Tribolium castaneum: one gene and its partner. Each later gene encodes a partner of the first gene's protein in a complex. Links are inferred from orthologs where the notes say so. Each region holds a gene or a part of one and is shown on either strand. Other genes may lie near its edges.

Region 1 (3,927 bases):
CGCCCTGGTCTAAGAGAAAATAGTGTTTGACGGATCTCAGTCTCCCCAAAAGATCCTTTTCCTTCACAACTAGCTCGAGTAATGTTTGGCTTGCAAATTTATACGCATTTTCGATCGCTTCAATGTAGTGCTTTTCTTCGATTTTGTAAAGTATTGGTCGTATTTTATTTTTCACAGGCTTGCCTGGAAAAAAACTTGGCGATTGATTTTTACGTAAATGAGTCAAATTACCACACTGTCGTATTACGTTCAAGTATTTTCCAGCTTTTAGAATTATGTCCGAGACTGGCTCTAAAAATTTCGGGATCTTTTCCCGTTCTATTGAGTATTTTTTATCCCAGTAGTCGGCTGAATAATCGACCGGCATGTCTTCCTTCTGGATGACTTCATTGTCTTTTACCAGAAACTAAAAGTCGAAGTAAAAGTTTTAACTGCTTTTCTTTGAATTCTAGCTTAATAATTACGTTCATTTTATTTACCAGCTTTAATCAATCACACATTTTTTTTAATTAGAAAGTTGTTACGCGATTATTATGAAAACAATTTTCAAAATATTTCCAAATTCCGTTTATTCGATTGCCAAACAATTATAAGAAGATAAGAAAAACAACAGTACTTTAGACTTTTTTTTTATTTTTCTTTGTAAACAAAACCACGCAGGTGACTTCAAATATCCAAAAATCGTGAGAAACAAACGCATTTGTGGCAGTATTTTTTTTGTTCTAATTATTTTTTTTTCATCGTAAAAATAAATCTGTATCAGAGTGTTCATTTTTTTCAGAAAATAAATAGTAATTAAAGCTAAACATTTACAAACGGCATTATTTACAAAAATTGTAGATGTTGAAATTTTAAAAGCTCAGCTTATGAATAGTCATGACAAAAGATAATATTTCACGCTTCTATCTTCATTTTCTTGGTAAACAAAGCCAAGCAAATGACTTTAAATATCCAAAAAATAGTGACGAACAAATAGTATTTGTGGGACTTTTTTTTTAACGACACAATTATTCAAAAAAAAATCCAGAATGGCAGTGCATCAATTTTGATCACTTTCACCCTAAAACAAAAATGTTTTTCGACTAAAAAACATACTTTTCTGGAAATAATTTTCAATAAAGATAAAAAGTATTTTTTGTTTTATCATTTTAAATATTAGTTATTATGTTATTAATAATACGAGTGCGAAAACACAAGCTCAACACACAAAGTTCGAGGGCTGACGTATTGGAAAACTTCAAGCGTTTTTGTATGAGTGTTACTCAATTTTTTTTTCTTTTAAAAATGTTACCTCACTGATTGGATCAGAAATAATTCCTCTGTAAATCCACATTCCCAACATTTTCATATACGGAACACACGCAGCCTCCATCAGACTAACACAACGTTGTTGTGTCCTTTCATCACCAATTGACCCAATTATGTGATCATGTAGCAAACTTAAAACTTTTCCCCCTTTGGCATCCGACTATAAATTACAAATTAAATTTAAAAATAAATTGTCACGTAGTTACTTTGCTGATCTTAGTCGCAATGTTTGCTGTAATGCCAAAAGGCTGCAACCGCTTCTGTACATAAAACCAAAGTTTTTGCAAATTTAAGTTATCAGCTTCAAATTCATCCTGAAGTTGGGTGACATAAATCTGAAAAACAACTTTGCAAAGTCGCTAATTGTGGCCTTCAACTTACTAGATGTTCTTTCAAAATCGCGCTCATTTCTTCAGCTAAGGCGTTATTAACTTGCCCAAACTCAAACCTCAACTTTTCTTCGGCAAACCTCTGGATTAGCGAATAATGACTGGCGATAGGCAAGATTTGTTTAACAAGTTCTTGCAGAGGCAGAGGTACATTATCGTTTATTTTAAAGGTTCTAGGGGCGTAAGGATCATTCAGCTCCTCTGCTTCGATGTAACAGCCTGGTATACCAATTAATACAACTAACAGATCTTTAATCAGGATGTTTTCTTGAGACACAACTGGAACAGCTGGACAAATAGTACTACAACTTTGCGTTGAAAAATCGCAGGATAAAGTCGGCCGTCTCTGGACCCAAGACGTAACAGAAGGGGTGCTAGCCCTCGGAAGATTAGTACTAGTGTTGAGAATACTGCTTGAAGAACACTCTTTTTGCGACCGTTTTAAAGCCTCCCGACGTAACCGATTCCTAACTTGTGGCAAATCGTCCCGCGTTATTTCGGTTTTTTGCTCCGAATGCTTATCCATTTTACCTAACAAGCTTCTAACACTACTATCTTGAGATATGTGATACAGAAGCTGAACGTACGGCCCTAAACAATCCACACTGGAAATTTCACGTCAACTAAAATGCAACCAGTCACAAGACCTCACTTTTTCTGCTTTAGATCTTCAAATTTCAGTAGAAATGGTTCCGAATTTTTCAAATCTTCGGCAATACGTTGCACGTAACTCTGTATTGCCACTTGTGAACCTGAACATTCCTTGCCGGTGCTACTGCTGATACTTTTTTGTAACGCTTCTACAAGTTTTTCGGGGGGATTTTTTGCACTATATGGACAAGAATTAGGTTTTTTGAAGCGAAAACAACACGTGTACGCACCCCAAACAGTTCAAAAGTTCCGCAACCAAGTGCTGGAGCTTAAATTCGCTCATTTTGCCGATAATACTTGTCAAAAACAATTAACCTAACCTAAGAAACATTTGAAATCAAAAACAAGATGAGCGCGTCGATTTTTCAAAATTGGTGTATTTTTGGTTGACTGACTTACAGGCGTTTCAAATCAATAAAGGTTGAAAAACTGACGAAAAAAGTACCAAAAGGGTGCTAAATCAATTTTTAATACTTCCATAGCTCATTTTGGATAATTTTACATCATAAATTGGTGTAATTCGGGATAAAATTTCGCGTTCAATACCTAAAACCACGCCCATTTGGTGTTCGTCTCAATTCGCGAGATTCCGGATCAATGGAACAATCAACAAATCAAACAGCTGATCTAACCTAAAATGAATTAAGTTAAGTGAGTTTTTAAATCTAATCTAGCGAAGTGTGTTTCGAATAATGCCTAATGAAGCTCGGTATGCGTTACTATACAGTGATTACGAAACTTCCACAGTTTTGCGTTTGCCTTTTGAAAAATTTTCGATTATAACCGTGGGTTTGCCGTTGTTTGCTTTCCTGTTTTGCATTATTTATTCGGTGATTTTTCATTTCGAAACCGCCACTTACACCCATTGTCAAGTGTTTAATGTTTTACCGTCCATTTCTGCGGCTATCGGAAATTTTTCACCACAACGACAAGTCTGGCAAACGGCTATAGTTTTACATGCTGTGCCAAGATTCTCGATTGCCTTTGTTTACCTCCAACACCACCAAAACGTTTTATACCAAAATGACCAATGGATGGGGGCCGTCGCATGTGTTCTTAATGTTGTTGAAAACATTTCGTTGATTATACTGTCTTTTTGGACCTCATCTCAGCACTATCGTAAACGTTTTTTACGAGAATTTTCCCCTTTATTTTGTTAAAAATGTTTTAGCTGTTCATGAAAAAGCCTTCATCACCTTTATATTGATGTCGGAGTTTTATATGATTTTAATTTACATTCTCCAAAGACGTTGTAAAAAGCGCCACAAAGAAAGTCTGAAATGGAAGAAAAGACTACTCATCACAAACATATCATCTATTTTAGTAGCAACGTATTGCTTTTTAAGGCACAACTCATATTGTGAGCCTTATGGTAAGTAGTTACTTTTTTTAATGCTCCTTTAATTTTCTGCATTTTAGTATATTCTGGTTTTGCCTTGGCAGAATATACAGTAGTATTAACAAATATGGCGTTCCACATGACTGCTTATTTAGATTTTAAAAATAAAGATTTGGTGGTCTATAGGTACGGTGTTGCTTTAACAGAAAGATAATATTTAGTTGTATAGCTAGTTATACA
Region 2 (3,927 bases), on another chromosome or scaffold:
GGTCGGTGGGGCCCACGTTGGCCTTCCAGCGCTCGATGGCGTTGTCCCCTACCAGCTGGAGCGCCACCACAGGGCCCGAGGTCATGTGGTCCACCACGAAGGGCAGGAAAGCGGAGCCGCGGAGGTGGTCGTACAGCTCCAAGCATTCGGCCTGCTTCAAGCGGCACATCCGCACGTTGATGATTTCGAAGTGGCGGTCCTGGATTTGGTTGAAAATCTCGCCGATTTTGTCGATGACGCTGACTTTGATCACGCCGAAGGTGTGCTGGCGCGTGTTGCCGATGATTGTTTTGGTGCGGCAATCGGCATAATCGACGATTTTTAACTGGCGGTCGTAGATGCGGACCTTGTTGCCCACGAAGACGTCGTCGCGGCTGATGCACTCGTAGAAGGAGCGCTTGAGGAAGGGGCGCTTGAGGTCGATGTCGTAGAGCTCGACCGTGCTATCGACGGGGTAGTAATTCAGGAGCAGTCGCTTCTGGTAGGCCGAATCGAAGTCGAACCATTCGGCTATGAACGATAATTTATCACCGTAATCGGTGCCGAACGATGATGACATTGTCGGATTTACTGGAATGTGAAAGGCCGTGACAGACACGTCAAATGAAATACTAGTTGCGTTATTTAAAATTTATCGAAGAAGAGCAATTTAAACTTCCCTCTTTCGTGGTAAATTATTTATAGGCGGAAAAATATTTCACTTTCAATAAGCCCTGAAGTTATCTACTATTTTATTCCGGGTTGGAGCTGTTGTAATCTGCTTATGTGTAACCTACTAACATTTTACAAATAACGATTTATGAAACTTTACCTACAGTTTTAAATCGGAGAGTTACAACCCCCTGATAATAAATTTCAGAAATGCGTCATGTAATGCGAGATTTATATGCAAACAAGCTAATTACTATTTAAATACGATTCTTCACTTGAATATCAGGAAACTATCTTTGCATTAATTTGATTTCGATGTCTGCTGAAAATATTCATTTTTCTTTGCTTTTTTTATAAATGAAATTGTGGACTGTCTTTTCAATACTTATAGAATTAAGTGGAATTTTATATTTCGACACAGATCTTCCATTCCACCGTAAATCTATGTGGGAGTTATCGATGTCCGGTATCAAAACAATCAAAGGAATCTCAGCTTCAAAAGAATACTATTTGAAATGGTATTTCATACGAATTGTTGCATTTACATACGAAATGCACAAATCGTTAACTTCAGTAATTATTGTTATAAAACTTGAGTGAATTACGAGATACCTAAAAAATTGACCAAATCTGTGAAAAACTAACAATTACTAGGGAGGGAAGCGAAGTTCAAAACTTTTCTGTACCGAAAAATTTAGTACAGCGGATTCAAAACAAGGGCACGTTAGACCGCCTCGGTTTCAAACTCGGTATTTTAAGTTTAAAAAATAAAAAAAAAACAAAAAAATTAACAAATCTTAACAATATTTTTCAAAATGCTGGGAATGCGGTTAAAGATGCAAGAAAAATGTACAAAAGGTAGTTGTAGAGAATTTTGATACAAAAAATAGTAAGTCATTCTCTGTCTTACGGTTTACGCCCAAAAAACGATCAAAGACGGATTCGCTAAACGGTTGAAAAAAAGAAAATTTATTAAATTGAAATCTCTTTGTCAATTCTAACTTTGCAAATTAGTAAAAGTTTTCTTTTTTCGATTTAGTTTATTTGAGTTTATTCTGTAATTCATTATTAAAAGTATTTTATTAATGTTTAAACTGAATTTGCCGTGAAAAGGTTTAATTTCTGACATGGTCACTTTGTGCAGTCAGCCCACGATAATTCAGAAGAAAAATTTCTTGGTAAAAAAGCGTGTATTATTAATCTTGCTACCTAAAAATAGATAGAGCAATTACATTTAAACTCACAAGAATGCATTTCTACGAGTACAGTCATATCTATTCCTTACTGTTCCGGCTAATTAGATAAAAATAAAACTTTTGACCCACTAAGCAAAATACCAAGAGGTTAACAGCTCGTAATTACAAATTTATACAGCGTTTTGTCCATTTAATTAAGCGGGAATTATATTTTAGTGTGTCATCTGTTGAAACAAATAAAGACTTTTCTGATTTGAATTGTTCATTATAACAATTTCTAGTAGATGTGTATGTCAGAAGATACATTAATCAAAAAATTAGCGATGATATGGGAAATATCTGCAATAACCGTATTATGTTCAGGTATGACTACTGCACTTTATTACTACCAAGAAAATGAGTAAGACAAACTTAGATTAATTACTCCCGTTTCTACTTTATTACTTTAAAAAACTGAATGGAGTAGAAATTGGACGTGTGATTCTCAGTTTATTTATAACATGAATTTTATAAATAAGAAATAAAAAACAAGTCTAAAATCCTTAATCAATTATAATTAAAAATTATCAACACTATAAAAAATTATTGATAATAAAAGTATTTATTAAATTTTGCGTCGCACCAAAATAAGGAATATATTATTTACTACTGGAAGTAAATAATACACGCTCCAATGGAGACAAAATATTGTTTTTATGTTTTTTAAAATTCAACCGATGATTCGACATTTCCACTGCCCCAAAAAAATTGTTCAAATATGAAGTTCATATACTTCTCGAATGGCAAATTACGCACGAGAGGGATCACAATTTTAGCTACCTAGCAATTTGTCGAAAAATTCGTTAGAACAGCGTGGTTGTTTATGCAGATTCTGCTCACACACAACAGTGATTAAGTCGGTGTCAAATGAGGAAAACCCAATAGAATCGAATAGATTAAGCGATGCCTTAGAGGGATCCGAATGTTTATGAAAAGCATTTAGACAAAAGCCTTAACAAGGGTGTTTCAAGAAGAAGTGAAGTTGATGTTAAAAGGGTAGCAGAAGCAGTGCGGCAATTAAAAAGGGTAAATCGACGTTTGGGGCTTAGTGGATTAATTTAAAGGGAAAAAACCCACTTACTTAACATGAATATTTGAAGGAAAAAATAAAAAGTTAGATAATCCAAGATTAAAGATAAAACCTCCATCACGTTGACCAACGCAGCTGGTAATTTGCGGCCAGGAGACGTATTTTTCGTAAACAACCCAAAGTACATTAATCAGATAAAATTCGGAAATTTACAAAGACCGCGTCCACATATGGTCCCGTCACACTCGCCGGTTATTAACATGTTTTCCGTTAATGATTGAAAAGGTTTCGATTAGCTCCGATTTATAAACCAAACAAATCTCCCTCGGCTGGATGATAATTACGCTATCAGTGACAAACAACACGCAAAAATCGCTAATCTTTCCGTTAAATAGTGCGCTCTCAGGGGAAATACCCGATTCATCAGTGGCGCACTAACCTGAAGCCGCCCCCGAAACCTGAGTGGCAGCGTAAAGTGGCTGCGCCCGCCGCGTCCACAGGTGCTATATAACGTAGGCCACCAGCTATACGAAGTCGTCTTCGTGTTGTGCTTTTGCAACCAACTCCAGCCTCCGGAACCTGGATTTACCATCTGTACCGGTAAGTGACTCGATTTGCTCCCCAGCGGCTTCTGAAACCAAACCCATTTACGCTCAGACTGCTGAAAAAGTTATTTAAAAACGAATTTCGATAAAGTGCGTTATTTGGTATCAAACGCATTTCATTCCATTTCCTGAACTTAAAACGTGTATTAAAAATAATGCGGGGCTTTATAGACGCAAAATCTAATTAGGATATTTAATTTAGGGCGGGTTTTTACAATGCTTCACCGTAAATTGAATGGCCGAAGACCTTTCCAATCTTTAAAATAACGTTTACTTTAAATTGTTTCAAATAATTAAAACAATTTTAGTATTTCAAGTTAGTTTCAGAATTTATAAACGGTTCTCATTTCTCTTGCACTTCTTTGCATCAAACTTGCCCTGCTATAAATTAATTGAATTCTTGAAA

The links.
Region 2: gamma-tubulin complex component 2 (region 1) and nmdyn-D7 share a complex: the UniProt entries of both Homo sapiens proteins name them as parts of the gamma-tubulin ring complex. The link is inferred for Tribolium castaneum from reciprocal best matches to the Homo sapiens genes TUBGCP2 and NME7.

What each region holds. Positions count from the first base shown.
Region 1 is NC_087402.1:3,136,612-3,140,538, reverse strand, and holds the start of gamma-tubulin complex component 2, read right to left. Parts: upstream 2,872-3,927; 5' UTR 2,748-2,871; exon of another isoform or gene 2,669-2,747; 5' UTR 2,632-2,668; coding exon 2,579-2,631; intron 2,527-2,578; coding exon 2,350-2,526; intron 2,303-2,349; coding exon 1,690-2,302; intron 1,644-1,689; coding exon 1,515-1,643; intron 1,469-1,514; coding exon 1,292-1,468; intron 407-1,291; coding exon 232-406; intron 184-231; coding exon 1-183. Other genes in the region: post-GPI attachment to proteins factor 2, read left to right, coding at 3,041-3,467, 3,520-3,720, 3,768-3,901. UniProt on the Homo sapiens protein: Component of the gamma-tubulin ring complex (gTuRC) which mediates microtubule nucleation.
Region 2 is NC_087396.1:11,133,119-11,137,045, reverse strand, and holds the start of nmdyn-D7 (nucleoside diphosphate kinase homolog 7), read right to left. Parts: upstream 2,990-3,927; 5' UTR 2,975-2,989; coding exon 2,968-2,974; intron 571-2,967; coding exon 1-570. UniProt on the Homo sapiens protein: Possesses an intrinsic kinase activity. Displays 3'-5' exonuclease activity with a preference for single-stranded DNA. Does not seem to have nucleoside diphosphate kinase activity.